Daphnia pulex: one gene and its partners. The protein of the gene in region 5 purifies or fractionates together with the protein of the main gene of each other region. This does not show direct contact. Links are inferred from orthologs where the notes say so. Each region holds a gene or a part of one and is shown on either strand. Other genes may lie near its edges.

The links.
Region 1: the proteins of 116 kDa U5 small nuclear ribonucleoprotein component-like (region 5) and protein ecdysoneless-like purify together in Homo sapiens (affinity purification with mass spectrometry; 5 studies listed by BioGRID and IntAct, with this or other methods). This does not show direct contact. The link is inferred for Daphnia pulex from reciprocal best matches to the Homo sapiens genes EFTUD2 and ECD.
Region 2: the proteins of 116 kDa U5 small nuclear ribonucleoprotein component-like (region 5) and E2F-associated phosphoprotein-like purify together in Homo sapiens (affinity purification with mass spectrometry; 4 studies listed by BioGRID and IntAct, counting the BioPlex papers as one, with this or other methods). This does not show direct contact. The link is inferred for Daphnia pulex from reciprocal best matches to the Homo sapiens genes EFTUD2 and EAPP.
Region 3: the proteins of 116 kDa U5 small nuclear ribonucleoprotein component-like (region 5) and tetratricopeptide repeat protein 27-like purify together in Homo sapiens (affinity purification with mass spectrometry; 5 studies listed by BioGRID and IntAct, with this or other methods). This does not show direct contact. The link is inferred for Daphnia pulex from reciprocal best matches to the Homo sapiens genes EFTUD2 and TTC27.
Region 4: the proteins of 116 kDa U5 small nuclear ribonucleoprotein component-like (region 5) and peptidyl-prolyl cis-trans isomerase E-like purify together in Homo sapiens (affinity purification with mass spectrometry; 3 studies listed by BioGRID and IntAct, with this or other methods). This does not show direct contact. The link is inferred for Daphnia pulex from reciprocal best matches to the Homo sapiens genes EFTUD2 and PPIE.
Region 6: the proteins of 116 kDa U5 small nuclear ribonucleoprotein component-like (region 5) and peptidyl-prolyl cis-trans isomerase H-like purify together in Homo sapiens (affinity purification with mass spectrometry; 3 studies listed by BioGRID and IntAct, with this or other methods). This does not show direct contact. The link is inferred for Daphnia pulex from reciprocal best matches to the Homo sapiens genes EFTUD2 and PPIH.
Region 7: the proteins of 116 kDa U5 small nuclear ribonucleoprotein component-like (region 5) and U4/U6.U5 tri-snRNP-associated protein 1-like purify together in Homo sapiens (affinity purification with mass spectrometry; 4 studies listed by BioGRID and IntAct, with this or other methods). This does not show direct contact. The link is inferred for Daphnia pulex from reciprocal best matches to the Homo sapiens genes EFTUD2 and SART1.

The regions. Positions count from the first base shown.
Region 1 is NC_060018.1:5,231,066-5,234,980, forward strand, and holds the end of protein ecdysoneless-like, read left to right. Parts: intron 1-749; coding exon 750-837; intron 838-912; coding exon 913-1,091; intron 1,092-1,200; coding exon 1,201-1,342; intron 1,343-1,439; coding exon 1,440-1,619; intron 1,620-1,689; coding exon 1,690-1,815; intron 1,816-1,888; coding exon 1,889-2,069; intron 2,070-2,133; coding exon 2,134-2,448; intron 2,449-2,510; coding exon 2,511-2,695; intron 2,696-2,758; coding exon 2,759-2,959; 3' UTR 2,960-3,380; downstream 3,381-3,915. UniProt on the Homo sapiens protein: Regulator of p53/TP53 stability and function. Inhibits MDM2-mediated degradation of p53/TP53 possibly by cooperating in part with TXNIP. May be involved transcriptional regulation. In vitro has intrinsic transactivation activity enhanced by EP300.
Region 2 is NC_060018.1:7,628,040-7,631,673, reverse strand, and holds E2F-associated phosphoprotein-like, read left to right. Parts: upstream 1-1,614; 5' UTR 1,615-1,759; intron 1,760-1,830; 5' UTR 1,831-1,843; coding exon 1,844-2,343; intron 2,344-2,426; coding exon 2,427-2,676; 3' UTR 2,677-3,113; downstream 3,114-3,634. Other genes in the region: protein MEMO1-like, read right to left, coding at 43-147, 204-420, 506-617, 675-787, 855-923, 1,034-1,115, 1,198-1,246. UniProt on the Homo sapiens protein: May play an important role in the fine-tuning of both major E2F1 activities, the regulation of the cell-cycle and the induction of apoptosis. Promotes S-phase entry, and inhibits p14(ARP) expression.
Region 3 is NC_060020.1:293,333-297,905, reverse strand, and holds the start of tetratricopeptide repeat protein 27-like, read left to right. Parts: upstream 1-1,753; 5' UTR 1,754-1,858; coding exon 1,859-1,955; intron 1,956-2,029; coding exon 2,030-2,183; intron 2,184-2,242; coding exon 2,243-2,477; intron 2,478-2,539; coding exon 2,540-2,804; intron 2,805-2,869; coding exon 2,870-3,107; intron 3,108-3,167; coding exon 3,168-3,234; intron 3,235-3,294; coding exon 3,295-3,627; intron 3,628-3,682; coding exon 3,683-3,856; intron 3,857-3,922; coding exon 3,923-4,075; intron 4,076-4,138; coding exon 4,139-4,300; intron 4,301-4,360; coding exon 4,361-4,573. Other genes in the region: transcription factor kayak-like, read left to right, coding at 1-135, 202-306, 374-1,003.
Region 4 is NC_060020.1:8,629,367-8,633,173, forward strand, and holds peptidyl-prolyl cis-trans isomerase E-like, read left to right. Parts: upstream 1-1,572; 5' UTR 1,573-1,871; coding exon 1,872-1,908; intron 1,909-1,972; coding exon 1,973-2,145; intron 2,146-2,222; coding exon 2,223-2,630; intron 2,631-2,689; coding exon 2,690-2,877; intron 2,878-2,941; coding exon 2,942-3,077; 3' UTR 3,078-3,163; downstream 3,164-3,807. Other genes in the region: uncharacterized protein LOC124191929, read right to left, coding at 3,246-3,379, 3,475-3,577, 3,655-3,807. UniProt on the Homo sapiens protein: Involved in pre-mRNA splicing as component of the spliceosome. Combines RNA-binding and PPIase activities.
Region 5 is NC_060028.1:8,367,562-8,372,024, reverse strand, and holds the start of 116 kDa U5 small nuclear ribonucleoprotein component-like, read right to left. Parts: upstream 3,045-4,463; 5' UTR 2,825-3,044; coding exon 2,504-2,824; intron 2,436-2,503; coding exon 2,111-2,435; intron 2,039-2,110; coding exon 1,914-2,038; intron 1,843-1,913; coding exon 1,595-1,842; intron 1,532-1,594; coding exon 1,369-1,531; intron 1,298-1,368; coding exon 1,162-1,297; intron 1,090-1,161; coding exon 412-1,089; intron 342-411; coding exon 173-341; intron 104-172; coding exon 1-103. UniProt on the Homo sapiens protein: Required for pre-mRNA splicing as component of the spliceosome, including pre-catalytic, catalytic and post-catalytic spliceosomal complexes. Component of the U5 snRNP and the U4/U6-U5 tri-snRNP complex, a building block of the spliceosome.
Region 6 is NC_060021.1:7,373,884-7,378,555, forward strand, and holds peptidyl-prolyl cis-trans isomerase H-like, read right to left. Parts: upstream 2,973-4,672; 5' UTR 2,914-2,972; coding exon of another isoform or gene 2,881-2,913; 5' UTR 2,859-2,880; coding exon 2,826-2,858; exon of another isoform or gene 2,794-2,825; intron 2,055-2,793; exon of another isoform or gene 1,682-2,054; intron 1,567-1,681; exon of another isoform or gene 1,004-1,566; intron 957-1,003; coding exon 792-956; intron 726-791; coding exon 549-725; intron 484-548; coding exon 391-483; intron 320-390; coding exon 122-319; 3' UTR 92-121; downstream 1-91. Other genes in the region: U6 snRNA-associated Sm-like protein LSm5, read left to right, coding at 2,881-2,913, 2,973-3,170, 3,244-3,282; serine/threonine-protein kinase mos-like, read right to left, coding at 3,313-3,468, 3,527-3,691, 3,767-3,926, 3,987-4,200, 4,265-4,622. UniProt on the Homo sapiens protein: PPIase that catalyzes the cis-trans isomerization of proline imidic peptide bonds in oligopeptides and may therefore assist protein folding. Participates in pre-mRNA splicing.
Region 7 is NC_060026.1:10,447,457-10,451,818, forward strand, and holds the start of U4/U6.U5 tri-snRNP-associated protein 1-like, read left to right. Parts: upstream 1-1,400; 5' UTR 1,401-1,426; intron 1,427-1,527; 5' UTR 1,528-1,729; intron 1,730-1,810; exon of another isoform or gene 1,811-1,833; 5' UTR 1,834-1,846; coding exon 1,847-2,012; intron 2,013-2,067; coding exon 2,068-2,238; intron 2,239-2,295; coding exon 2,296-2,621; intron 2,622-2,685; coding exon 2,686-2,947; intron 2,948-3,005; coding exon 3,006-3,305; intron 3,306-3,370; coding exon 3,371-3,654; intron 3,655-3,727; coding exon 3,728-3,890; intron 3,891-3,964; coding exon 3,965-4,139; intron 4,140-4,204; coding exon 4,205-4,345; intron 4,346-4,362. UniProt on the Homo sapiens protein: Plays a role in mRNA splicing as a component of the U4/U6-U5 tri-snRNP, one of the building blocks of the spliceosome. May also bind to DNA.

The DNA of each region.
Region 1 (3,915 bases), on a different chromosome or scaffold from region 5:
TCTTTCTGACTTGCTATACGGCTGCTGCTGCTGCAGCGCTGGCGCACTGCGGCCGGGCTTCCGTTTGACCTTGTCGGCTGTTGTTTCTATCTCTCTCTCTCTCTCTCCTACCTCCCTCTTTCTTCCCCCTATCGCCTCCCACCTCCCGTAGCCCGCCCTCTCCACCCATTACCCCCCCTCCCTCCGCTTGAGTCGGCCCTGGACACACTACTCAAAGGCAACTCTAAAGGAAGGTGCGGGTCCACCTGAAGTCCTCAGTTGTCCGCCGAACTTCCATTCACGTAGACACAACAGGAGCTCTCCATTTCTCTCTCTCCTCTCTATCTCTCCTGTTTTTCTTTTCCCCACTTCTTTGCCACATCGCCGCCTCTGTGCTATTTTTATATTCGCTTGCACTCTCTCGTCAGGAAGTCTTTTTCCTGTCCCCTACAAGCGATAAATTGTTTTCGTGAATCGCCGTTGATTACTTACCCAATTCCAACATGTCACCAACATGCTCTAAATTGTGCAACTGCTGGCTTTGCCGCACTCGCAGTTAATCTATTTTAGAAAAAAACCTTGTGAATTGGTAAGCGACTATTTTTGGCATCTCCAACTTTTTCAATCAATTACACTAAGCATCGCGCCAGTGGTCCGCCGTTTCTGCGGATATAATTGAATTAGTGATTTAACCGGATGGTCTAGACAATTGATATTCTAACCAGTTTTGTTGTTTGTTTGTTTTGTTTTTCTTCTTCTCCCCATCACAGAATTGTTGATTCAGATGGTGAATTCTTGCTGGTTGAAGCTGCCGATAGTCTTCCGCGTTGGGCCAACCCAGAAACTTGCATCAACAGGGTAAGTTTATTCGCTTAACTCTTTTTTTTGGAATTCCTTGACAAAGTTATAATTTTATCACTCTGAAAATTACAGGTTTTTATCCATGGTGGTCAAGTTCATATAATCAGTATAGCTGATCGTCCCTCTAGTATCACTCCTTTACCGTCAGGCCAGCCTTCTCTGATGGACGCTGTTCACATTGTTCGTTCCATGCCGCACTTGACCATAGCACCCGCTCCCATTCAAGAGCCAATCCACCAGCGCATTGACAAGTAAATTTGAAATTTCTAATTTTGTTTTCGAGTTTAAGGCCATTTCGTAATGGGGACAACTCCCCTGGTTTTTTTTTTGTGTGTGTGTTTTTTCTTTCAACTAATTCAGGTGCGTATCTCAAATCGATTCCAGTCTTCACCGTTGCAATGTATTCGTGCCTGCTGGTGTTGCCGCTTTGCTGCAATCCTATCCGACTCTTGTAGCACCAGCTATTCATGCATTCTGTCAGCGCGATGCCTCTCAACTGCAGGTATTTAAAAAGTGTCTGGTTAAAATGTCAGCTCAAACCCGAGCTCCCGAAGGCAAGGTTTAATCAATTATTTTGTTCCCCCCGTTATGTAACGTAGGTTATCCGCGCCATGCGTTTCTTTCCCCCAGAAACTCGAGTATGGACGTCAGTGACATTCACAAAATGTCTTTATGCTATGCTTGTTCACCGTAACTACCAGCCAGATCACAGGACTGGCTGGTCTTTACCACCGATTGGCGATTCCAAACGAACGGGTTCAGACCTTGGCATGAAACTTGTACGCAATTTCTTTTATCTGATTTTGTCTTTTCTGTTTTGAATTTATTTATGTTTTCAAATCATTTCAGGCTATTGGATTTGAATTACTGGCTAACGAGGAATCCTTACACCAAAAAGACGACGATTATTCTTTGGACATGGATTCACGTTGGAATCGATTCCTAAACACACTGAAAGAAAAAGGATTTTTCCAGGTAAATTTCACTGAAAGTTATTTTGTCAAATTTACAAAGTAATTTGTGTTTTTATTTCTGTTTGTTCTTTTAGGATTTCCTCGATGGTTCTAAACCACATAATGAGCTTATGGAAAAAGCTCGAGAATTTTACATCAATAGTGTGGGAGTAGAAGGACCGGCAAAGAAACCTGTCATTTTAAGACTGATGCAATCTGTTTGTGCCGATGTCGACAAATTCAAGAAAGTAGAATCCCATTTACCTGCGGATGACGGTAAGGTTTCACTTGTAAGACGTTGGTAGAACTGCAACTCATGTTTCGTTGTTATTCAATACAGATGACTCCTGGCTATCTGTTGATCCTGCCACCCTTGATCAAATTCTCGGCGACAAATTTAGTTTGTTGGGAGTCGATGATGATGACGAGGCCAAGGCCGATATCTTGCCTAAACTTGAAACCTTCCTCAATCGGACGTCAGATTATGAAGGTCTTACGCCGGCCAACGGCAGGAAGAAATCCAGAAAGCTTTCTCACCTAGCTCCGCCTTCAAGGAAGACGTCAACGCTCTCAAACGCCTCTGACGCTTCCCAACTTTCTACCAACATTGGTTTCGATCCAGATAGTTTTGCATCCGCAATGCAAGGGATTCTTGGTACGTCAATTTCTTGTAAATTTGTTGGACTTTGAAAATAATAAAAAAAAAATCTTTTGTAGATTTCGCTCTGCCAGAAGACAATTGGGATTTGGAATCAAATTCTTCTTGTTTGAGCAGCTACAGTGAAGAGGAAGAAGGCGACGAGTTGGTAGACAAGGAGATGAACAAATACATGCAAACAATGGATCAAGAATTGTTAACCACGGATGTTCATCGTACTTCCGTAGACAACCCTACTCGCAAGGTAAATTTTTGTGTGTGTGGAATTAACAAACAATTGGTAATAAGCCATCGAATTCGTTTCCAGGAATCCGTCATGAGCGAAGGTTGTGAGAGTTTCAGCGATGTGGAAAACTTTCAACCCGTAAAAATTGATTCTGCTGCTCTTGAATCCCTTCTTGCTTCCTACACAATGCAGCGTGGTGGTCCTGGTCCTGCATCTATTTTGTTGAATCAATTGAATCTTTCTCGGAGCCAGGTATCAGCCAGTAAAAAACAAACCGACTGAAGATTGTGACCTTACGTTTGTTTTTCTCCTCTTTTTCTCTTCACTCTTTCCCTATGTAATTATTATCGATGTCTTTTCATCCGCCCTATTTCCTCTTACCCATGCGATTGGGTGATTTGAGGTTTAATTTATTATTATGATTCGTCTTTTGATAAAAACTTCCGGTTTTTTTTTTCTTTAAAAAATTCGGTCCCTCACCTTTTCGAATCTGACACATTTCTCAAAAGCCAGTCGCTGCTATCCCTCTGTGATACACAACGCTCGGTGGAGGTGGTTTGTATAACGGGACTTTTTTTTTTTTTTTCCATTTCCAGCTCCATTCCTAATACATTTCGGATTTATGTATTCGCCTTCTTTGCGTTCTTCCATGTCTTTTGGCGTTATAGCTGCCATTTGAAAGATACACGAGGATTCACACTGAGCACGTCTTGTAAATTAAGTCGATACAAACGGAACGACTCGTGGGGTCAAATTACTCGTACCCACGCAAGTCACGGTTTGCCTCCAGCCCGTATCCTTGTTCCAGATTTTAAAAATACCTTTTTTTTTTGCTAAGTTGTTGTATGCGCACAAATGTGGAGTCAAAAGGGCAAGGTACAAGCTATTTTAATTCGCGTCTGGCCATTATTTTTATTCTTTTGGCTTTTTGAAGTAGTTCTAATGAATTTGAGTATCGTTAAATTGTTTGCCAACATACCAAAATGTCCAATCATCGAGTTCTCAACGGATTTGATGATAATACAGTTGAGTAAGTTTGAAGGATGCCATTACGCAGTTTCCGCATCAATGGTGCATAACGAAGTCCTTACTTCAGCGGCGACTCCGCGGGGAACATTGAAAAGCCAAATTGGCGGGGTAAGTGAAATACGTAGAATTTTATACATGTTGAACCTCTATGGTGATCAATATTATCAAACGAACTAGCTTTAACAAGTTACATGGAAAATTCCACGAAG
Region 2 (3,634 bases), on a different chromosome or scaffold from region 5:
AATTAAAAAACTTCACTAGTCTGACAATACAAGATTTTTTACATTTAACAGGACTCCGATTGGATGTCTACCGCATATGGTATTGCCGTATTTTTTTAAATATTCGGTGAATCCAGCCGTATCCAGTGTTTCAATGATGGACATACCCTGTTCATTTATGGCACAGTAAATATTAGTAAATGAGAAGGGAAAAACGATTATACTTCTCGATCTAGCCTTTGGATAGACTGGAAAATTTCTCCGCATGCTTTGTCATAGTGGGTGTAACGAAATCGTTGACCCCAGTGGCAAAAATCCGATGAAACGACGAAACAGTTGTTGGGGTCCGCGAGATACTTGGAAAGGAGTCTTCCGTAGTGGGTTTCACGTTCCGGAGACAGCGATCCAACCAAAATTGGGACAATGGTAAAATCTCTGTGACTAAAAAAACAGCAAGATATTTGAAAATGAACAACATTGCAATAATTTGCATGTGAAGAATTCTGATTGCAATAAATTCACATACTTTTCAAAAACTTTGGCAATATAAGGCAGATGCATTTCAATGCTATGCTCATCTTCATCTGTTTCCAGATTCATCCACTCAAAGCAGCCAGTACCCTGTAGTTCTTTATACACTAAAAATAATACAGACTAAATATTTTCCCTTACAAAATTGTGAAATATAAATTTACCCTGTGTATCAATGGTGAGATCATAAAATGGAGTGCGGTATTTGGCTACAGATGAGAGGGCACATCCAGACAGCCTTACATGATGGGAAGGCCCTAGAATAAAGACACGTTTCCTGTTCCAACAACATACACACTGATGGGAAAATAAAAGGTAAAAAAATTTTTGAGGCTTATTTTTACACATTTGTAGGATCAATCTGTTTGTATGCAAAACCTGCACAAGATCCGCAATAACGATAGCCAGCATGCCTGTGGTAAAATAATAAACAGCTTTTGTTAATTTTCGCACAGGAGAGACTTTCACAAATTTATATTTTATTGATAGAAGTAAAAAAAAAATAATCATTTAAAAAACTTACGGTGCAATGATAGCCCTTGCTGGTCCATGTGAGAAATTGGCTGCATCTAGCCACCCATCGAGTTGACGACCAAGTTCCTTAGCTAGGAAAGGGTAAATATGATAAACAACTAAAATATGATGTTTTTCCATTTAAACAAAGGAACAAAGATGTGTCAATATTACCCGAATCAGAATACCAGCTGCCAGCGTGGGATGCTTTTCGTACGGACATGTTAAAAATAACCCTTTTTTACGTAATCTTTAATCTAAAGGATATCACCAGTTCTATTCTCGATTAAAATTATTTAAGAATAGTCCTATTTCCTAACCCACCTAGCAGTGTACCACCACTGTACACAATGCAACCAGCCGTCCTTCTCACACAAGTGATTGAGGATTGGACCATTGGGGGGTGAAAGCAGACCGACCGAAAGCAATCAACGATGCGAAAAATTAACTATTACAGAAATCGAAAATTCCAGGAAAAGTTACATGATTTTTATTTTTAAATTATTTTTTAAAAATCCTGATAGATTTTTTAAAGCTTTTTATAGGCATTAAATCAATTTGAATGAAATTTTAAATCAGTGGCAGCTATCGGCCTATCGCCTGAAAGAATCGAGTTATAACGATGTCAACAAAGAATTGACAGAAGGGCACATGCTGATTTGCTTAGTTATACGTACGTAAGACCATCGTTTAATGCTTGTTGATGAAAACAATATTGGTTTCTTGTGTAATAACGGTGAGTAAAACTTTTAAGAGTGTGAAGCTAGTTTTCGCTGTATATAAAATACTTGTTTTCACCGATTTCAGCTCTTTTTCCAAAATGGATTCAGATGACGACTACATTGTCCAACAGTTCAGCGATGAAGGAGGCATCGATTCGAGCGATGACGATGAAATGGTTATGAAAGAATTTTACAAGCAATCAGAGTCTGGGGGAAAAAAGTCGTTGAAAGATTTTCAGGCTGAAATGAACAAGGAATTGGAGCTTCGTGTGGCAACTTATCTTGAGAAAGAAAAAATTCAAGATCCAACAAAATTTGGGAGTGATGTTAAAACAGAAAGCAAGTCAAGAGATCACTACTTTGACACTGATTCTGAAGAAGATGTCGAAACAGAAGATTCAACAGCTCAAGCACAATCTAATATGGAATTATTTTATGATCCTCAAATGGATCTCAAAGATGAATCCTATGTACAAAAGCAGCGAGACATGTACAGAAAGAAATTCAAGAATCAGGCCAAGCCCAAACTTTTACCTAACAGTGATGCGGTGTTGAACTGCCCTGCATGTTTTACAACTTTATGCCATGACTGTCAGAGGTAATTATACGACCTGCTTTTTAATTAATTACATCATAAGACTTTGCTGAATCTCTTGTATTGACTGAATGTTAACCTTGTAGGCATGAAACTATCAAAACACAGTACAGGGCTATGTTTACTTTTCATTGTCAAGTAGACATGAGTGAGGTGATGAAAATTCCTCTGCAGTCACAGAAAAACCGTTCCAAGAAGACGGCGTCAGATGAACCTACTTTCAGTGGGTCTGAAGATGTTTATCATCCGGTACGGTGTTCCACGTGCAACACACATGTGGCTATGTTTGATAGTGATGAAGTGTATCATTTTTTCAATGTCGTTACGAGTCATTGAATAAAGTCCCGTCTGTTATTATTTTTGTCAGTGTGTTGTTAAACTTGTGTGTGCACTTAAAGTTATTGTAATAAGAAAATCAAGAGTCTTCGAGGACAAAAATTTTGTGTAATCGCCACACATCAAAAGGGGGAGGAGAGGAAGTCACAATTTCTTTTCATGTGAAAAGAAAATAAAATAACGGAAGGGTCAGTGGGCAACGGTTCACACACCCAAAAGTAATATTCCGCACTGTGCGAACAAAACATGGGATTTTTTTAACCAAAAAACTAATTAATGATGTGAAACGCTGTAAAACGGGTGGGAATCAAATGATTAAGAGGAATATTTATTCAAAATAATTCCTGTGTGTCTGTGTTATCCAATCGACTCGGCTACCATCAAACCCCTATCCCAGATCCCTATCGAATTCGAAATTGGAAAAGATTTGCACAAAATAGCCTCAAAAAAGGGGAAAACGCAAAAGCATCAACAGTATGGGGGGAACGAAAAATTATACCCACAAAGAAAAACGCGAAAGAAGACGAGACCCAAAAATCAATGCACAAAGATTGAAAAAACGGGAAAGGGAGGAAGTCCACGTCTATTAATTTTTTTTAAGTGGACAAAATTGGTTGTGTTTTATCGAGGAAAGAGGTTGGGCGGATATAACACACCACAAAGAATTTGAAAATAATTTGGTTGTTTCTAGGGCTCGAAGATGAATGTGTCTCAGTCATCGAACGGATGGATTTTTCTAATTTATGGGATAAAAGTTCGGAGGGGAGGAGGAATACAATGAAGAAAAACATTCAAAAATAGAATGAAGAAAACTGGCCGACTCCAAACATAAAAAATTCTTCCTGCTTTTTTTTTCACACTCGGCAGATTCATCTAGAATACTAATTCTATCAAAGAATGATGGGCTTCTTTTTCTGCCATTCTCTCACACCACTACCCAGCTCAGCCGTTGCTCGAT
Region 3 (4,573 bases), on a different chromosome or scaffold from region 5:
ACAGGAAGACGAATGAGTGTGGGCAGTAACAGCAGCAGTAGTAACAGTGGCTACAGCAGTACAGCAATGAGCTTCACTTCCGGTTCTGCACGTCGTGGTGGTGGTCGACGCAAAGAGGATCGTGACAGAGACGAGGTAATAATCGAGTTGATTTTCAATATAATTGAAATCAAGACTAAAATTACTTTCCATGCTTTTTAGCCCGGTGAGGACTCGGGCAAAAGGTTGATGCGGCGCGAACGAAACAAACAAGCTGCTGCCCGTTGCCGTAAACGACGTCTGGACCATACGATGGCTCTCCAACAGGTAATAATTTTGCCAGCGATATTTGTAGAAACAAATGCAAACTGTTTTTTCTTTATTCCGTCTATAGGAAACGGAGTTGTGGGAAGACAAGAAACAAATCTTGCAGAATGAGATCCGTCAGTTGCAAAAACACAAAGAAGAGCTGGAACAGCTTTTGGATTCTCATAGACCTCAGTGCAAGATGATGAGAAAGACGGGCCATTATCCGTCGAACAACAAAGCACCTCTACTTCCCGCTATGCCTAACCTAATGCCGATACCAAATGTCCAGCAACCCCAACAACAGCAGCAACAACAACAACACTCCCACGTTCAGCAGCAACCAATCAAAGAGGAACGTCACGAAAGCGATGAATCTTCATCAGACGGCGTCGGCTTAATCGAGTTCACCCGACCTACCATAGCACCACGCCCTCGTCCTACAACGCTACCCGTCGCTTCCCCCTTTACAAATGCTCCACCGCGTAATTCTAGTTGGCATGAAATCGCCGGTATCGCAATCACTACACCTTCATCCGGAATCCCTGGATTCAACTTTGACTCGCTCATGGAGGGTGGGACAGGGCTCACTCCCGTTGTGCCTAGCCCATCGTGTGGCACTCAGCAACAACGTAGTAACGCAGGAAGTAATGGAACAACTCTGCCCGTTGATTTGTCCAGTCCTGAGGCTGTAAACCGAAAACTGGTTTCACTTTGATGCGTTTCTTAGTAGATAATTATAATCTGAAGTTACTTTTTTAGGGGAAAAACTGGGTAAAACTTATATGAGGTTGCAAATAGATTTGTATACCTTTTGCCCCCTATATTTATTTTTTAAACAACTGAAAGAAAACAATTGTAGTATGTTACATACTAAAAAAATTCTTCAAGCTCATTCAATCACTATCGATTGACCTATGCAAATCAATGTCTTTAAAAGCCTTAATAATTGCGGGAATCGCTTTTAAAAAATTTCTTCCTACTATTTCTAAGTTTAGTTTTTAATCCAACAGAAACTAACATTGGGTTGTTTGAATTCACACGTGGTTTACCCCTTTGCTCTCCCACAGGACCCTTTTGCATTCCCGTTGCTCCACTAGTCTCGAGCGATTCGATAACGAGCGCCGTTTCTTCTCCTTTTTTTTTGTTAGCTCCCGTCCCTTGGTTTTTTTTCCTACGCAGAATTTATGTAGATTGGCTACAACGAAGTCTATTGCCAATCCATGCCTTTATTTGTTTTCAAATTGTATTTTGTCATAAAATCGAATGCCACCCTTGTATAATCCGCTTACATTGATGCAATAAACAACATTTGATAGCTTCAATTTTGAACGATTCTTTATAATTGCTTATTAAACTCAAATTGAGTTTAATTGAGTTGCTCTATATGAATATATTCGGAAAACCTAGGTTAATGAGTCATCATGAAGCAAGATGATCCAGTCATCCGCATTCCGCTGTTTAAGAAAAAATTATCGTCGTCTGCTAGTAGACATTTCCCACGTGTTGTTTCAATCTCGAGCGCGCTTTCATCTGCGACATTTAGGATTACATTTTTCGAAGCCCACAGAAAATGCCAGAAGTGTGTCGAAAGCAAGTAACTCTTGAAGTAGAGCTATCCCTATTGGATCCTCAACTTAGATCAACAGATCTGACACATTTATGTGATGGTGAGTTTAATTAATGTGACAGTGTAGTACTCAGTTAAAAAATGACATGATTTGACAGCTATAAAATTTTTTAGATCTCAAAGACCTGATTGAACACATCCAAAAAGGAAACTTTGAAGATGTTCTAAAGCACTGTCCAATTAGGATTTTTGGAGCAGGTATTCAACAATCATCAATCAAAGAAGCAGTTGAACGATTTTGCCATGATAATTCAAGTGATGAAACCAGGTAGAATTGATATTATATAAATTGAACAGCAGTAATTCTTATATTATCAATTATTTCAGTTTATTTCAGTTGCTTTGCATTGGGATATCTGCCTTACAGCGCTTTATTCAAAGTAACTGGCTTGGATGCAACAAATGGGAAATGTCATCTGATGATGACATGATAGACAGTGCATCCAAAGAATGCTTAATTATTGATGCAGAATGCTTATTTCCCACCATTAAAGACCTACAATTGCTCTTGGCTGCAAAAACCATCTTATTTGACTTCAAGGAACAGTTCATGCACTTCAAGGTAATTTAAAGTTGTTTAACAAATTGAATAGCAAATTGATTCTCATTGTATTTTATGAAAAGCTTTCAGGTTGGTGGCTTATGAGGTATTTATATGTCCACCAACGAGTCTTAGAGGAGTCATCCCAATTGCTGCATTCTGCATTCCTTGAAAACATTATTGGCAAGATTGATCAGCTTGAAGAATCACTTGGAGGTAACTTGCTTTTCAGCTCTCTGCTGCAGTTGGAGCTCGGTTACACCTACTTGCTGTATGGTGAAGTGCAAAAAACCAAACTTCATTTTGAAAAAGCCAATGAGATTGTTGGTTTTAGATGTGAATGGACAGGTAGGTTACAAAATTTAAAACATAAAAAACACCCCAAATATGTTGAAAATGTTTGTTTACTAAAGGGGCAATGGGGAAAAGGACACAGTATCAACAAACTCCGCTACCCCAATTAACGATCAAAGTTCATTTCAACATGGATGAGGCGCTGCTGACAGATACTACCGAACGAGCAAGTGATCTGCCAAGAGACGTACGATTAGAGGATGACACCCGTTTGAATCACATCGCCTTTATCAACAAAGATGACAATATTCTCCCTGATCTTCCTCCTCTGTACCAATCTCTTTTGATTGCTCATGCGTAAGGAAAATTCTAACTTTTGTTCAGTGGCGTAAATTAAATTTATGGATTCTGTTTTAGAACTCAAATTGAAAAATTCCATCCTAAAGATGACCTTCTTGGAGAAGAACTATCACCTTTACTAAACGTGAGACAAATATTTCCATTTTTTTTACAGTAACATTGAGTTGAAGAATATGTTTTACAGTGTATCTTAGGCTATCCAAAAATCTGGTCTTTTCATGTCAGCTCTTTGGTGATGCGCTCCAAGTTGGAGTCTACGCAGCGCCGCGCTGTTGAACGAGCTCTTTCTCAGTTGCAAGAGCTAGCAGATTCTCTAGCAAAAGTCAGCCCTGATGCACATCGTCGAATTGAATATTTTTATGTTTCGCGAATTCCGCTCGAGTGTGAACTTCAAAGCGAATTGGCCGAAGTTCTTAAAAGTCTTGGAGCAATCAGCAGTGCGTTAGACATTTATATTCGTCTCCAGCTGTGGGATGGTGTTATTGCTTGTTACCAACAACTCGACAGAAAACATAAGGTAAACTCGTGTTGTATCAATAAATCCTCAGTAGCTTGTAAAATTTAACATTTAGGCAGAGGAAATTGTCCGCCAAGAATTGGCAAAAGGTGAAACACCCAAGCTGTGGTGTCTACTTGGAAATTGCACTGATGATGTGACATATTACGAAAAAGCATGGGAATTGTCCAAGCACTCGAGCGCTAGAGCTCAACGAGATTGGGCAATGCACTTTTACAACAAAAAACAGGTCCGATTTTTTTATTATTTACTTTTACGAAGCTTTTTGACTTACATTAAATTTGTCTTTGAATAGCTTCGCGAAGCTATCCCCCACTTTCAAGAGTCCTTGAGAGTCAATGGATTACAGGAAAATATCTGGATTCGATTGGCCTTTTGTGCTATGGATATGGAAGACTGGGAAATTGCCGCCTCTGCATACCGTCGATATTGCGGTCTGAACTCTGAGGTATGTGCTCTAAACGTTCACAAAAAATTAATTAATAAATCGTCAACGTTCACATCTTCTTAGTCGTTTGAGGCTTGGAATAATGTAGCCAAATGTTATGCCAAACTGGGCCAGAAAACTCGGGCTTGGAGAGCTTTGCAAGAAGCTGTCAAGTGTAACTATGAAAATTGGAAGATTTGGGACAATCTAATGATCGTATCCATCGATTGCTGCGAATATGAAGAAGTAAGTTCCTTTAATCGTGTTGCATCTGAACAACATTTTATCGAGTGATCATATTTATAGGCCATACGTTCGTACAACCGTATCCTTGAACTGAAAGAAAAACATGTCGACGTTCAAGTGCTGAAAATATTGGTTCAAGCAATCGTGGAGAACAAAGAAGATAATTACGGCCAAGAAGTCAATCGACTCGGTGCAGTTGTTCAAAAACTTTTTGGCCGCTTAACTTCACAGGTGACCAATGACGCACAAGTTTGGGAAGTGTATGCCGATCTT
Region 4 (3,807 bases), on a different chromosome or scaffold from region 5:
AGTTCAAAATGAAGAAAGTTAGACATTCTGCTGTAGTCATACTGAACTGTAGTAAGTCAGGAATCTCTGCCAAAACTTTTTCTTTAGTGATAAGAAGACTTTGGGGGATCTGGACTAGCAGATGGTTAGGAGCTATGTTAGACATAGCCATGAGACCTCGTCCAGTGCTATTAAACAGAGCTGGCTTTGTAACTAAACAATTTTTTGACACAGCATTCCAACCATTCGCACTCATCCATTTACAAAGTTCAACGAATTCTGAATGTGAATCAATCCGAAGTGGGCGAGAATGCACAATTCGAACCAACCTGTTTCGGATTCTAGATGTTCGTCCCATGTTTTTTTATAATGGAAATATATTTAATTTAACACCACAACTTTATACCACATTCATATTCTCACAGTTTTTCAATAAACTCACGGCGGTTTTCTTTTCGAATAGAGATGAAACAATTGGTTAAAATGAAATTTACGGCTGCTTACACTTGACTTCAAATCTTACTGAGTTTACACTTTACACATTTTGTTTACATCAGAGTGATCAGACGACTATGAGTTGACAGTGACAGGAATAGGGACGGGTGGGTTGAATCCGAAGTGGCTAGTCCGCTTTCATATGTATGGTTTGAGATGTAGCCCTTTACGCACCAGGAAGTGCTTGATTTCTAGTACATCTTTTGGATCCTAGGGCAAAATGCACGCCACTAGAGGCGCTATGCCCACGAAGTGAACGAACTAATGCTTGTCGCTTGACAGCTCTTTTTATACTAAATGCTATCCAGCACTCCCTAATGCATTAAAAAGGACGTTGCCTTCCCCCAAGCCTAGAGAGTAGAGACGTAGCAGTAGATACGTCTAAATAATTTTTTTACTTGACATAAATCATTTTCTATGATAGCCTAGCCTTAAGCCCTTAACTTTCCAAATTAATTAAAAAGAAAACCGTTATTCGTACGCAGGTACACTATCCCTTAACGGAAGTGTGAAAAAACAGGTTCGGTTTTAATTGAATAACTGAAACGCTATTCATCACAAAGAGAAAGATTTGAAAATAAATGCGGAACTTGCATTTGAGACAACCAGACGTCAACGAAAAAGAAGTGCGCGTTATTAAGATCTACCTCTAAAATTTATGCGATCTCTTTTGTCGTTAAAGAAAATCGGCCCAAATATTATATATTTTGAGATAAAATCCGCGGGTTAATGTCAATGGATTTATTAGATCCAATTCCTTGTTGTAGTTATTATATACCAGAGAGATGTATATTTTTCCTATATCACTGGCAAAACCAACAGTCAGATTCACGTCGATGTCCGTTAAATTTTTCTTAAATTTTTGGTTTAGTGCTTTAGTCTCAATTTTAAAAAAATTCCGCGATCCTCCCATCAGATACCTTAAAGTAGCAGCGAAGAAGCAACAAGTTTACTAGTTTTGGAGTAGCCTTTTTATTTTGCGTTTATTTGAATTTATTTTGATTCAAATAAAATAATCTGATGGGCTATTTGAATTTGGAAAAATCTCCAAAAAGTCGCTAAAAAGCGGAACAGCCACTTTGGTTCTAGCTCTACTGATCGTATAACGAAGCGAAACATGCTGTCTGCAGTCTCTGCACTCTGACGAACGTGTTTGACTGTTTGCCCACGCCAGTTTTCAGTTTGATTAGTCTGCAACCTGTGAATCGGTATTTTATTATTGTCCTCACTGTGCATAATAATAAGGAAGGTTTAGACAGTGATATTTATATATTACTCATTAGCTTATGGGGATGCTTTGAACATTGAGAATTTCAATACTTTACGTAAAGTTTTTGAACACGTAACCTCGATTCTTGATAATCTTTCTTGTGGTGCATTCAAATTTGTGCCGCAACATGTCATCTAACAATGCCAAGCGAAACATCTATGTCGGTAAGATCAAATAACATATTTCAGTCTTACGAAATGTAATGCTTACTGTGATTCATTTTAACAGGTGGCCTTCCTGATGAGGCAGATGAATCAGTAGTGCGTGCAGCCTTTATTCCTTTCGGAGAAATTGTTAATATAGAAATACCTCCAGATTATGAAAATCATGAAAAACATAGAGGTTTCTCTTTTATTGAGTATGAACTAGCTGAAGATGCTGCTGCCGCAATTGATAACATGGTATTCTCACAATTTCTTACAGTTTATCTAGTAAACAAATATTTAATTACTTGCCATCATGGATGCCTTTCTTTCAGAATGATTCTGAGTTGTTTGGCAAAACAATTACTGTAAACATTGCAAGACCTCGGAAAATTAAGGAAGGATATTCTAGACCAGTTTGGTCAGAGGATTCTTGGTTGCAAAAATATGCTGGAAAGACAGAAGAAAATAAAAATCCAGTGGAGGAAAACAATAAGGAATCAACTGAAGGGAAAGACAATGTTTCTGAATCTGAAACTAAGTCAGCAGTTTCTAAAAAGCCTCGCGGCAACCCTCAAGTGTACATGGATCTTAAAGCTGGAAAAATCAATTTGGGCAGAATAATTATTTTATTGAGAGCTGATGTCGCCCCTAAAACATCTGAAAATTTTCTTGCTCTCTGCACTCATGAAAAAGGTTATGGATTCATGAATTCCAGTTTTCATCGTATTATTCCAGGATTTGTAAGCGGAAAGCTCAGTTTTAATCAATATTTATTTTTATTAACGTTCTTTTGCAAAAGATGTGTCAAGGTGGTGATTTTACTAACGGTGATGGAACCGGTGGTCGATCAATTTTCGGTGGAAACGGGAAATTCGAAGACGAAAATTTTACGTTGAAGCACAACGGTCCTGGTATTCTGTCTATGGCGAATTCAGGCCCAAATTCAAATGGATCCCAATTTTTTCTAACCCTTGACAAAGCAGAATGGTAGGTTTTTTCCCTGTTAAAATATCATAGTTATAATGCTAATAGCACCTTTATGTTTTCAAAGGTTGGATAACAAGCACGTCGTATTTGGTCAACTTCTTGCCGGCCTAGATGTTTTACGTAAAGTGGAGAAGTACGGAACAAAGTCTGGTAAACCGACTGACAAAGTCATTATGTCCGCCTGTGGAGAACTATTGTAACACATGAATAAAAGAAGCTTTTTTTTAACTACATTGTTTAATGACCAATGTCTTGTGCTCATGAAAAATATAAACAAACAAATTGATTGGACTACAGTATATTCCAACCCTCTTCCCTCCCGGAAAAAAACAAAAAAACAAAAGAAAAACATTAACGTCATGGGTCCTTTAATTTTCGTTGAGATTTTCATATTGATTGATCCAGCTATGAATCAAATCTTGGATGTAATTGTCTTGCAGGTCTTTGGGTATCCGCGGTCCCGGATAATTCAATTCTTTATTTAATGCGCCTGTTAGTTCATCTAAACAAGTAAAATAATTGGTATGTTTACAGGAAATTCCCAAGTTTGACATTTTTTAGACACTGTAAGGTATTTGAATGAAAAAAGATATTTACTAATATTCATATTAGGCCACAAATCTTGCTTCTGATTCATAATGGGAATTTCATTGGATATACGGCCAAAAGGTTCCTCCCCAACCATTGCCGCCCGACCAGACTTCGAAAGATATATATATTTTTTTTTAAGTTTAGAAATAATTATCTGATTTTTTACGTCTACTGTGGACTACACACCTCCGTGGAAATATCCTTGCGCCTACCCAAACGAGGAACCGCCTTTGATGCCTTCAGAAAAAAATTAGAGAGACTTCCTTCGTGAGGAAAAGATTCTGAATTCATGTATTCAGCGATGATTCCTTCACCTCGTCGGCCGATTCGAGGAATCTT
Region 5 (4,463 bases):
GAGGATGTTGGGTCCCGTGGAATCGGGGCCAAATGCCCAAATGGATCGGGCAGCCAACAAATCCCAATCGTATTTGCTCTGGAAAAACTCGCTCAATTTTTTCCTGCGTTTTGGAAAATTAGGAAATAATTATTCAACTACTCTCTGAAAAAGAATTCCAAGTCTTTTTTACTTGTTCCAATTGATTTGGACGACCCCATTTTCAATATCTTCGGCCAAACCTTTCTCCAGGGGTTCCGCAATCATTGTGATTTTATTCTTTTTGTTTGGAGTTTCGGCAAAACATTTCAGTGAGGACGTTTCCACGACCGTTTCGCAAAAAGACACCACAGGATCAGCAACTACAAGAAAAACCAAAGTGAATTAGTTAAATTAGAAGAATTAACAGTTGGGAAGAAATGAATGGCAAACCTTTAATGTCGATTTCCGAGTACATTTTCCTGAGATCGTGCATGACACAGTCCAGGTAAAGTTCGCCTGTTCCAAGAATAACGTGCTCGCCCGACTCCTCCACTCGCGTCGAGAGCAACGGGTAAGATTTGTTAACCTTACGCAGACCGTCCAACATCTTGGGCAATTCGCTGGGATTCACCGGCTCAACGGCAATTTTGATGATGGATTGCGTGTTGAATTTCAAGGGTCGGCAAATGTACAAGTCCTCGTCGACGTGAACCTGGACGATGGTCGACGTCTTGACCACTGAGGCATCGATCCCTTCGATCAAGACCCAACTGCCTGCCGTTACTCTATTGACTTCGATCTTGTAACGGGCCTCGTATATCCAAAGTCGACCGATCGTCAACACACGTGAATCTTCTTCGTCATTGAGCGAATAGTTTTCACCCAGGAGTCGGACGTTCTGGTGAGCGTGAAGGGTCCCACTCAGGACACGACCCAGGACATAGAATCCAGTGCAGTCCTCTGTGGGATACTGTTTGGTAGTATGGACAACCAGTTGGCCGTTGGGATCACAGTTGACCATGTCTTCGCCCAGGATGGACTCCAGGGGACCTGTGTAAATGTGTTCCACTTTGGTGCGAGCAGCCGTTACGGGCGACGGGACGTGTTTGACGCACATTTCCACGAAACCTACACACACCAGTCAAACATTGACATTTAAAGACCGTTGCTTCAATTCAACATACATTTTAATTGACATACCGCTGAAAGTGCCCAGGTAGCGACTGCAGACCAGTCTCAACAAGGGGCGAGTGTTTAACCGCTGTTCCTCGACAGTCAGGCGAATGCCAAGTTCGTCCAGCAACTGCGGTAGACTCGAATCCAAATCTCCCACAACCTAAACAAGCAAAAAATATTGGAAATGAATCAACTGTTCAAATTAACTGCAAAGTTGTCCTTGGTACATGCCTGGGCAAAGATTTTGTACAACGGCTCTAAAATGAACTCGATGAAACTTCGCTGAGCCGAGCTATGTGGCGGCTTTTTGGTGAACTTTCTCGTCTTGCTGTTGAAGTAAATGTCACCCCACAGACGACGTGCTAACTCGTTGTCGTTGATATCGGATCCGTATCTAAAATGAAAGAAAATGAAGTTTCATTTAAGACCGTCATTGCCATTGTGGACGTGTGCGTACGTGTCACTGTAAAGTTTGGCGAAGGATTTAAGGGTGAAGCAAACGGAGAACTGGGCAGAAGCAAAGCAGACGTTGCCCAACAAGGGCGACACGAATTTTGGATTCTCTTCGTCGCTGTACAGGCCCAAAAGACCGTTGATCTCTTCAATGATGTAGCGCAACTTGTAATATGCGTCCTGAGGTGGCAGCTTGAGCTCCAAAATGAGTCGATCGATTTTGTTGATGCAAACTGTGATGGCCATTTTCTCCTATGAAAGGACAGGGTTAAAAAGAAATTCTTGGAATAACCAAGTTGAAGTTTTTTTTTTTTTTTAATTACCTGGACGGCGTGCTTCAAGATTCGTTCCGTGTTGAGCATGACACCCTCGACAGCGTCGACAAAGAGGACGATACCATCGCAAAGTCTCAGGGCAGCCGTGACTTCATCTGAGAAGTTGACGTGACCTTTAAGAAACATCAAAATCGATTAAATACATTTTTCCCCCCCATTTTGCAAGTTGGAAAACTGTAATTTACCAGGTGTGTCGAACATGTTGAGGAGGAAGGATTTTTCGTTCAGGTCGGGCATGACCACGGTAATGGGCGTCGCTTTGATGGAAACACCTCTCTCTTGTTCAGTAAAGAGTGTGTCTGTGTATCTGACAGGCTTCTCCTCTCCACTGCCAGGTTTTCCCGTCTGGAGATCTGGGTGTGTTTGCATGAGCAGACAATCCATGAAGGAAGTCTTGCCATGGTGCAAATGACCAACAAGGGCCACTGAACGAATAAGTTCTGCAGAGTCCATGAGATCAGCCAAAAACTCCATGTTATACGTGGTTTCAGGGAGTTCTTGCTCAGCAACCTAATGAAAATGGGTGGAAACAGGTTAATCAACAAAATGAAATATGGCAGCGAAACAATTTGTGGTACCTGAAACTTCCTTCGTTTGACAGGTGCGATGATGGGTTCAGTCAAGGGCTGAGCATCTTCTTCCTGCACCAGTGTCTCCACACCAGGTCCGTAAACCTCCAACGCTGATGGATAGTATTTTTTGTCTTCATGCAAAACAATGGCCATCTGTGCGTCGCCATCAACCACCGTTTGATCCATGGCCTCTTCGGAATCATTGTCACCATAGTCTTCGGCTTCGTCATCGTGATCAGCCTCGTCTCCTTCCTCATTTTCGTCTTCATCTGACTCGAGTTCGGGTCCAATGTAATTGCCGAATTCGTCGTAGAGATCGGCGTCCATTCTTGACAGTCAACTGAGTCGTTTGCTGTCTGTAAATTGGGCAGATACTTTGGATGTTGTCGATCGGTATTCGGCTTAACCCAACACTCACAGTTATAAAGCTGTTTCAAAAGGGAATTTCAGAAAAGCCGGGCCTTTCAAGAAAATGCGTTTACTATGCGTACAGATTTGCACGCGCTCAAAACGAGCGACACTAGCGACATCTAGCGGGTGCCAATGAAATCTGAATTTAAGAACAGCGCCATCTACCAGCTAGCAGGTGGATTATGAGTGGCAAAAAAAATGAAAATAAAATAAAATGAATAAAATAAATAAAAATAAAAATAAATAAATAAAAATAAAATAAAAGAGAAAAAAAAAATTCACAGCGTAATAAAATGCAAATGGGAATCCCGTTGAGGGCGGGGTTTTCCCTACCCGAATAAGGAAATGTTTCTGGCGCTGTTTTTTTGCTTGTGCACTGGAAACTGAAATCTAGTTGTGAATTTATATAGATGACGTGTCAGTCGCTATCAGGTCGGGTCCACGACGGAAAAAAACATTTTGTAGGAGAAACAAAGTCAGTCGAACACGGGCGATAATATCAATCAAAGCGGGCGAAATAAGGAGTAAAATGCCGTCATGTTTTTGAATTGAATAACGGAATAAATCTCAGCAGTCGTCTGATGTCTACGCACACAGTGCAGAATTTCAGTTTTGCCGGGCGATGGAAGCCCCCTGGATGGGCAAGTGCCCTTATATGATTTATTGCTGCCGACTCGTATGGAAAGATATATTAGACGTCTTTATCTGCAGACGAGTCTACAGACGAGCGACCCCGATTTATATATTCGCTTGTTGGTTTGTTGTTGCCAAAAGGAAATCACAAAAAAAAAACCCAAAAAATACTTGGGATGATATGGGCAGATCGACAAAATCAATGCCGGCCATTCGGTGATGTAGACCAGCCCAGCCCAGCCCAACTAGAGTTCTCCTTCTGTCCATGGGTTCTCGGTTGATGGTTCTTTTTTTTTTTTTTATTCGGGATATAATCACCGTTATCGGCGATGCTTCGAGTTGCTTGTTCTGTTTTTGTTGTTTGCAGCAATGTCATCCATTGTGTAGGCGGATAGAATGTACCCGGTTGAATGTCGCTGCACACATTTAGACTTGGCCAACAGCAGCAATCGACTTCCTCCTCCTTATTCCTCGTGCGTGAATTTTCCGTGGGGGTGTCCAATCAATAGCCCGACAGACTCTGACTGAGATTTTTTTTTTTTTTGGTTTGTTTTGTTTTTCTCTTTTTAAATTTCTATCCATCATCTTTTTTGTGTCTGCGGGGGGGTCACTATACTGTCCGGTGTGCATTGCCACGGCGGTGTAGTCTGTCGGGAGTCAAGGCTTAATGGATCGCAATGATTATTGGACGGCATTCATTACTACACAATACCCTTCGACATGGATGAAGCGATTGTAGTTCACTGGACTCCTGGACACATTAGACTTACGAAATGATTGATTGTTAATCAAGTCTCGTGGTGATGACGGAATGTTATTAGACCTCGACATTGGTCGAGCCAACAATCTCCACCCCAATTATAAAATTCGGCAACTCAGACATCGGTCGGGATTCATTTTGGCTAGACGCGAAAAAAAGACA
Region 6 (4,672 bases), on a different chromosome or scaffold from region 5:
TTAAGTGACATTTCCCCTCAAAACCCTGTAGCAAATGCATAAGTATGCATGTGTGCTGTGAAAATATTTTTCTTTTGTTGTCACTAGGAAATGATACAAAGAATCATGTATTAATTTTTTGTTACATCTCACCACATTGGGATACAGACACTGGAATCTTGGGTTTGTTGTTCGGCCCAGTAGGGACATTCTCAATTTTCCTCACCACGAGTAAACCATCTAGAACTCTGCCAAATACAACATGCTTGCCATCCAAGAAATCACACTTGGAGCAAGTTATGAAGAACTGAGAGCCATTTGTGTCTCGTCCACTATTTGCCTGTAACAAAATCATTTTCAGACATAAATAGTGAAGTTCAAAGTTAATTAAGATCTGAGCAAACTAATTACCATAGATAGAAGTCCAGGGGAATCATGCTTCAAGTTGAAATTTTCATCATTGAAAGTATCACCATAAATACTTAAGCAACCAGTTCCATCTCCCTATGTTAAGGAATTAACAGGTTGTAAACCAAACTAAAAAATGTTTTACTAAACATTTTACTTACATTAAGAAAATCTCCTCCTTGAATCATGAAATCCTTAATGATCCGATGAAAAGATGTCCCTTTAAAACCAGTTGGCAACCCGTCTCGTTTGAATTCTCCTGTGCAGAATTGCCGAAAATTCTCAGCTGTCCTTGGTACAACATCAGCAAACAGCTCTATGATGATACGTCCAATATCCTGTTTTCAACCACTATAATTAAAACAAATGTTTAAGAAAATGGAATAAGCTATATAAAATCTTACTGTTGATCCAACTGTTACATCCAAGAACACCACCGGATTATTAGGATGCCTCAATTGCCCTTGAATCTGATTCCATGTCGGCATTTTAAATCGAACGCACACGTTATGTTGGTCGTTACAGCTTTGTAGCAGACTACGAGCTGACAAATGAGCGTCCAAGGTTACCTAGCAACGACAGCTGAAGCTCAGTTTTCAGTTTTCGTCTGCTGTCAAAACTTAACGGTCACGCCTATTGCACTCCGGGGTCCGGAGCGCTCTAGTGTCAAAAGTGGCTATTGCACTCCGGAGTCCGGAGTCCTCTAGCGTCAAAAGTGGCTATTGCACTCCGGAAATTTATGGCGACGAATGGCAAATAACGACTGATTCTGTGTTTAACATAAATACCATTCAGCCTGAGTTCAGAGTCTGTCTTTCATTCAAGCTTCAATTATAGTGTGAAAGAAGAGGGAGTTATGCACTGATCTGTGGTTTCACCTTTGTTACAATATCGTACAACAGGTCAACAGCATGTGATGAGTTTTTGAGATTTCCCCAAATGAAAAACAAACCTGATGCCTTCAAGAAATTAGTGTTTGACATTTTGAAAAAAAAAGGATCATGTTTGAAAAGTGAGATTTTACTTATTTCATCTATAAAAGTTTTAAGGTTTGCAGGATTAGGGGTTTTCGCTATTTCTTTACGTTTACGACCTGATCATGACTTTATATCACATAAGAAGAATGTTCTTCGATATCATTTAATAATGAAAGAAGTTGAGTGTGTATAAACAAAAACAGTAGGTTTACTTTCTACTCAAATTTAACACAATATATTTCACATAATCAGTTCAATCCTGGGTTTGTATACATGAGGCTACATAATAAGGTATTTATTTTTTACATTCGTGACAGAACCATTCGTCATCGTCGAGGAATATTCTTTTTACAACATAAGGGAGATAGATGTTACAAAATACTGGTAGTCAAAAAGAGGAGTGGTTAACTTTGTTTATGATTATCTCCGCGGCGTTGGAACCTAAAGCAACCCATCATCAAAGGACAAGGCGCTTCCATATTCCGCTCTTAAAGGATCTTTGATTGACGCCGCACCATGTGCTAATTCTTTCCCCTTAAAATCAATTACTTTTTCATTGTCAGTTCATTCATGTGATGACAAAGCACCGAGTGAAACTGAACACGAAAATACCAAGTATTTTTTCGCACTCACAATTCAGTTAAAATGTCTTTTGATATTCTCACTATAATAAAGTAAACTGCATCTGCATGTTAACTTAGTTTTGTATTGTTTTGTTTCAAGATATGAAAGACGTGTTTAGCTGTTAGTTTATTGGAATAAGAGACACGGGCATTGCATGGTTTATAGCGTGAAATCAGCTGAATCACACGTTACGTGTAAATCAGCAGAAATAGTGAGTTGCTGGTCAATGCGTTTGAAGGTCACAAAGAACCCCTCGAAGCCCCGTTCTGAGAACTCCGGCTCGACTTTCAGGCAGGTAAGGGGCGACAAAGGGTGACTCACTATATGCGTTTATAACGTGTATAAATCCTTACACTGAGCAAATAGAGCGAGAAATTGAAATGGTTAACAAGAAATATCACCCTGAATTGAAATGTTTATAAATTCTACTTTATTCCTGTTGCAAGACACTTAACTATATTTACAATTTGAATTTTAAGGTACTGATTCAATGTTGGACATTGTACTCTAAACTCTAGCTAAGTTAACGATAACGAAATAAAAGTTCTTTCTATACACTGACTATTTTTATTTATTAGTGATATTCAAATATATATGATTGTTATAAATACATTTTATTTGAATTTCCAAAGAAAAAAAATCTAAACCATTCAAATTTCAAAACACAGAAACAGAATGCCATCGGTCGCCAAATGAAAGTACTACATATTTCCATTCCGGAGTGCAATAGCCACTTTTGACGCTAGAGGACTCCGGACTCCGGAGTGCAATAGCCACTTTTGACACTAGAGCGCTCCGGACTCCGGAGTGCAATAGATTTTACCAAACTTAACTTACAAATTTTCGAAGTTGGCGTGGAAGACATTTCATTTTTTCCCTCTAATTAAATAAAATGGCTGCACCAGTACCCACGCTTTTACCTCTGGTAATACTTTTTTAAAGTTATGCAATTAAATCTTCACCTAAATTTGGTGTGGTATACAGGAGTTGGTTGATAAATGCATTGGTTCAAGGATCCACATTATCATGAAGAATGACAAGGAAATAGTGGGAACTTTGCTAGGGTTCGACGATTTTGTCAACATGGTGCTGGAAGATGTGTCAGAATTTGAATCTACTCCAGAAGGAAGACGTGTGACTAAGCTAGACCAGATCCTGTTGAATGGAAACAACATAACTATGGTAAGGATGCTATAGCAACATAATTTATTGTCTTATTACTTGAACTAATAGCCATTTCATGATTGATATTTAGTTAGTTCCTGGTGGAGAGGGACCAGAAGCTCATTCATGAATTTTTCTTTAATTTTCGAAAGACAATACATCATTCACTCAAATCCTTGAGAATATTTACAATTTCTGACATAGTTGGGCGGTCTTCAGGTTTTGGTTGCCAACAGCTTTGATAAAGCTTACTAAATGTTGTTTCTTCTTCATTACAATTACTATTGAGGACTGGTCTTTCATCCTTGGCAACAACCTAATAACCAACAAGAAACTTAACAATGAATCACATAAAAAGTCTAAAAATGAAATACCAGGTATGCTACAGTGGGCCAGTCCAAGTCAGAAAAAGGTATTTGATTGTGTTCAAATTGCCATAATGTTATACCATAGGAATAGACATCAGATTTTGTTGAGGGAACATCCCCTTGAAGTATTTCTGGGGAACAGTAAGAAACTGTACCTACTCTTTGTTGGTACTGAAACAGAAATTAAATAGAACACAAATTACATCCATTTTCAATCACATCAAGATATGACAAGATAAAACTAACCTGGAATAAATCAAGCTGATGAATGTTTGCAGAATTTCCAAAGTCTCCCAATTTAATCCATTTTTCACTTTTCACCATAATATTAGCAGGTTTCACATCAAGGTGCAGCACTCCATTTGCATGACAATATTCAAGAGCCATGGCTAATTGTGTCGAATAGCTGTAAATTAAAAGTATACCATTAATCTAATTGTAATTTGGGGAAAGTCTGATTAAATACCTGAGAATGTCTCCCCATGGAATTTTCAAAGACATGCTAAGAAGTTGTTGAAGGTTAAGGGAACCCCAAGGTTCCATTAAAATTAGAACATCATCATCAACTTTCTCTATTTTAAGAGTGCTGATTATGTTGGGATGTGACAGCTTTTCCCCATTTATTTCATTGACCTGTTCTTTTGCAGCATTCTTTATTATTTTAACAGCAACTTGTGCATCTGGAAAATTAAATTACAGTACTGGTTTTTAAGGCTTTCAACTTTGATAAAGCGATCATATTACCTTTATACTTTGCCAACACAACTTGACCAAACCTTCCCCGTCCTAGTACATTAGATGAGTTGAGAGTGGTCTTAATTTTTGAAGCAAAAAGCAGCCTATGGGGACTATCAACAGAAAGTGAAATACTATCTCGTTTCTGAAAAAAATTATTTGGACTATTGAAGTTAAAATGGCTAGATGATGGGGATAATGAAGGTGTGGATTGGGGGTTGCACTGTGGAAAAGGTGATAACAAGGTGTGATATTGAGTGTGACCAGCTGGAACTGGACTCAACTTCAAATGATTGGGACTTTTAAAATCTTTAATAGGTAAAAAGCTTTTCAAACTAGCAGCTGCGACACACGGAGATCGTGACATGTCTTGAAACCCAAAACCCAAAACTGCCCTGTAGAATAAAAAAGGGGGGA
Region 7 (4,362 bases), on a different chromosome or scaffold from region 5:
ACTAGTAGCCGTCACAAATCCGCGAGTGAACTCATTGATCATTTTCAGTCAAACAGTTTCAACGGGTATGGCGTCCCCGAATTATTTAGGCAAATCAAGAATGACAATGTTACCCTCTGGTTCAGTAACAAATTTCATAGCAGCTTTGCTGCGGTTAACCGGGAACCTATAAACAGTTGATAACAATATTCGGTAACATACACACACAAGAAATTTAATTTGTAATGTGAAAATAAGATTACCAGTCATGTACTACACCAATATGTCTAGTTGATTTCATCTTGCAAAAAGGAAGAATATGTTCTTTGAGGATGTTGTTGTATGTTCTTGAATCGAACTTGCCAGTCACTCTGCACAGAGAAATATTTGGATGGAACGAAGATATACCACCAAAAAACAACACAGTATTACCAGTTTATTTCTCCGAACCAAAATGCAACTCTATCTTGCTGTTTTTGTCGTAACTGGAATTAGGCAACTTCGAACTGGAATTGAGCAATATTCCTAACGATTCAACAAGCGATTCGCCACTCAAAGAGGCCGTTTTTGATTTAGCGGAAATCGTCGCTAGGGGTTCTAAAAATTAACAAATAGATGGGTTTTGTGCAAAATTTTTCGCTAAGTCGATTGCTGAAAACCGCAATCGCCTAGCTTTTGTAATTTGGGAGATTTTTTTAAAAAAACTGAGAGGGGGTAGCCGAAATTTGGAATTTTTTTCGTTTTTTGTGCAGCAGTTTTCTCGTCAACTGCTGCACCTGGAAATATTCGAATTGTTTCATAATGATGGGATAGCCCACCTCTTCAAACAATTTTCATGTTTTTTCGATGCTCGGCTCAGAAGCCGAGATATTAACGATTGAAATTTTTGAAAAAATTTCTAAAAATTTCTTCGTTTTTCGGCCATGCCGGGCTTCATCCTATAAGCCACCTAGCGCTGCGAAAATCGAGAGGGGGTGGTCACCCCAACAGACCCTATATTCAGGGTAAACGTGGTCCGATTTGGAAACTGGAATGAGCGCTCTAGTGAGTGTGTCAGCTACTACGCTTAGCTACTTTTGAGAGCCTAGATGGCTCTGTTTCCAGTTTCTACTTCACAATTCTGACAAGCTCCGCCCTAAAATGTCTGAAAATCGGGGATACGTTTACCCTAAAACCGGGATAGGGAAGCCAACACAGCCGAGAACCGACCAGGCATCTATTGCTCTGGTTCTGCTATCGGCCGCAGTGGTGCGCATCGGCGTAAACTGCGCAGGACTTTTTGTTCGACTACTACTTTTTCATTGGAATAACATCTATAGTCTTTGAGGCGATCAGCCTACCTCACTAGCGAACCTGGTGCGGAATCTTGGAACCCTTAGTATAAACAAAAATCGACAACGACATTGTTCGTTTTGGACTTTTGGTTTTGCCGCACAAGTCTTCACATGTAAAACAAATAGTTAAAAACTATACTGGCCTTAATGTTTTCATTATGTTTTTCCTTTATTGATTTACGGATAAATTTATCTTCTGTTTTCTTTTTTTAAGTTTTATTCAATAGGAGGATTAACACGCCATCTGTTGCGGAATCAATGGATTTGTATTTGTCCCCGCTTTCCAATCCCGCATTTAGCAATTTACCAACACCCAACGGCATCAAAATAAATATTGCAAAAGCTGAAGTCTGCTTCTCAGTTCTCAAGTTCTGAAGTAAAATTGTTGCAAGATCATTAAGTGAATACAGATTCTGGTACCCTACTTTTATTGTTTGATATTTTAAGGAATTCTATTGAAAAAAATTTTATGTTTAAAGAAATCAAAACTTCCCACCTAAGTTAAACTACTTTCTTTCAGTTCTTAAGGAGACATGGACCGAAAAGAAAGTCGCGATCATAATAATTTTCGAAAAAGAAGACATCGTTCCCCATCTAGGTCTCCGTCAAGATCACATTCAAAAAGTTATGCCTCCGTCAAATCCAAACAAATAAAGGAAGATATAAGTCTCAACATTCAGAGCGAAGAACTGTTGACAGGTATGTATTCAAAATTATGTTTATTAGTAACTAGTAACCAATAATTTTTTTTAAGGAAAAGGGAATGATGAAAGACCAGTTGCTAATTCAACCAATGATACTTCCATTTCGATTGAGGAAACCAACAGAATAAGAGCTGAACTTGGTTTGAAGCCATTGGAGATTGGAGGAGAAAATTCAAATGTTGAAGCCAGTACTGAGAAAAAGGATGTTCATGTCCCAGCAGGTAATGATTTCATTTAAATGTCTTTACTTGTACAATTTAAATGTGGTATTTCTCTAGAGAACCTCCGTGAAAAGAAAGCCACAGAAGAGTTGAGACGAAAACTAGATGAAAGACGAGAAAAGAGGCAAATAGAACAAAAGCTTGCACAAGTGCGCACTCTTGCTCATACAACAGCTGATGATGATGACAATGCTGTTAGCTGGGTTGAAAAATCAAGAAGGATTCAGAAAGAAAAGGAAGAAGCTAATAAAAGAGCAAAAATGCTTGAAGAAATGGATGAAGCATTTGGTGTAGGAGATATGGTAACTACTGAACTGATTAAACAAAAAGCAAAAGCATACACAAGTAGAGACTTACGAGGAATAAAAGTAGAACATGACCGGGTAAGTCACCGACAACGTATACTTTTATTTGAATACCTGTGTTGATGTTGCTTTATTTTGTTAGGAAATGATAGCTGAAGGGAAAGAAGTAGTATTGACTCTTAAAGATCAAAACATCTTGCAAGAGGAAGGGGATGTTTTGGTGAATGTCAACCTTGTTGATATAGAACGCTACAAAAAGAACAATGAAATCAAGAAACAGAGACCGGGATATCAGCCCTATGAAGAGGAAGAAGTTGATGAATTGGGCCTTCCCAAACCAAAGCTCTTGCTTGCTAAATATGACACAGAAATAGAAGGAGAAAAACATGATAGCTTTGTCCTAGGTAAAATATTAGATTTGTTTTGTTGATCTTTACAAAAATATTTATGTTAAAATTCTAGGTAAAATTGGAGATGAAGAAGCCAAAATGAAAGCCCAAAAGTTGATGAAAGACAAACTCAAAATGCAACAGAAGAAAATTGAATCACTGGAATCGCGACCGCTCCAAATTGCATCTGAATATTATACAGCAGAAGAAATGGTTTCCTTCAAAAAAGTTAAACGTCGCGTCAAAAAGGTTCGATCCAAAGGCGACGGCATTTTAAAAGCTGACGATCTTATTCAAGAAACGCAAGAAACAACTTCGTCAGACTTGGGATCGAGATCTCGAAAGAAGAGAATGGATGAAGAGGTCACAGAAGGTATTTTAGTTTGACTAGTATATTGTTTTATTATTACTTATTATGTCTTGTTTATCCAACGCCAGATTTAAGCGGATTCAAGATTACTGTAGACGAATCCCAAAAAGAAATACGTCAGGCACTATTAAAAGCTAATAAACTAAAAGAAAGGAAGGCTGATCAGTGGGACATGAACATGATTACGCGGTCATTAAAACGCGAGCCTTTGGAAGAAACGGAAGGTATGGAAGAGGATCCTCTGAAGAGTAGTATCATACTGAATGCCACAGCAGAATTCTGTCGTACTCTTGGTGACATACCAACCTATGGTATGGCAGGCAATCGTGATGAAGACGAAGATGAGTTAATGGTAATTCATTGCATGAATGTTTTTTTTTTTTTGGTTTTGACTTTAATTAATTGCGTTTCTGTTTTGGCAATAGGATTTCGAGCGACAGTTGGCAGAAGAACGCAGAAGAAATCAAGAAAAAGAAGAGCGAAAAAGGGAGGCTGAGCGTCTTCAAGAACGCGGTGGATGGAATGTTCTGGAACGTGAAAACGATCAAGGTTCCGACGACAGCATGGATGTCGATCGTAATGAAAAGGGTATGTATACTGTGTTCTCGTCACTTTTATTGTTGTCAGTGTTTGCATTTTTTTCTTTTCTCTCTGTAAAATAGATAACGCTACTGTTATCCTGGACGAGGAACCTGATGTCGGCTCGGGAATGGCTGCAGCTTTGAAATTGGCTATGAGCAAAGGCTATCTGGAGAAAGAAGAGAAGAAGAGGATAGTTATTTCTAAGTCCGCCCAAGAGCTGCAGGCGCAGCGCTACACCATAGAAGATAAAGCAGCGTACAATTATTTTGTGTTTTGTTTATACGATATTCAGTTATTCTTATTTTATTTTGTTATTTCAGCGAGGACGACAAATATTCAAGAAGAAATCGTTTTGATGGCCCGGTTGTAGAATTTAAAGACAAAGAAGGCTACAAACCTTTGCCAAAACTTGAGTACATCGACGATAATGGCAAGGCAATGTCGACTAAAGAAGCTTTCCGGTATATGCTTGTTTTTT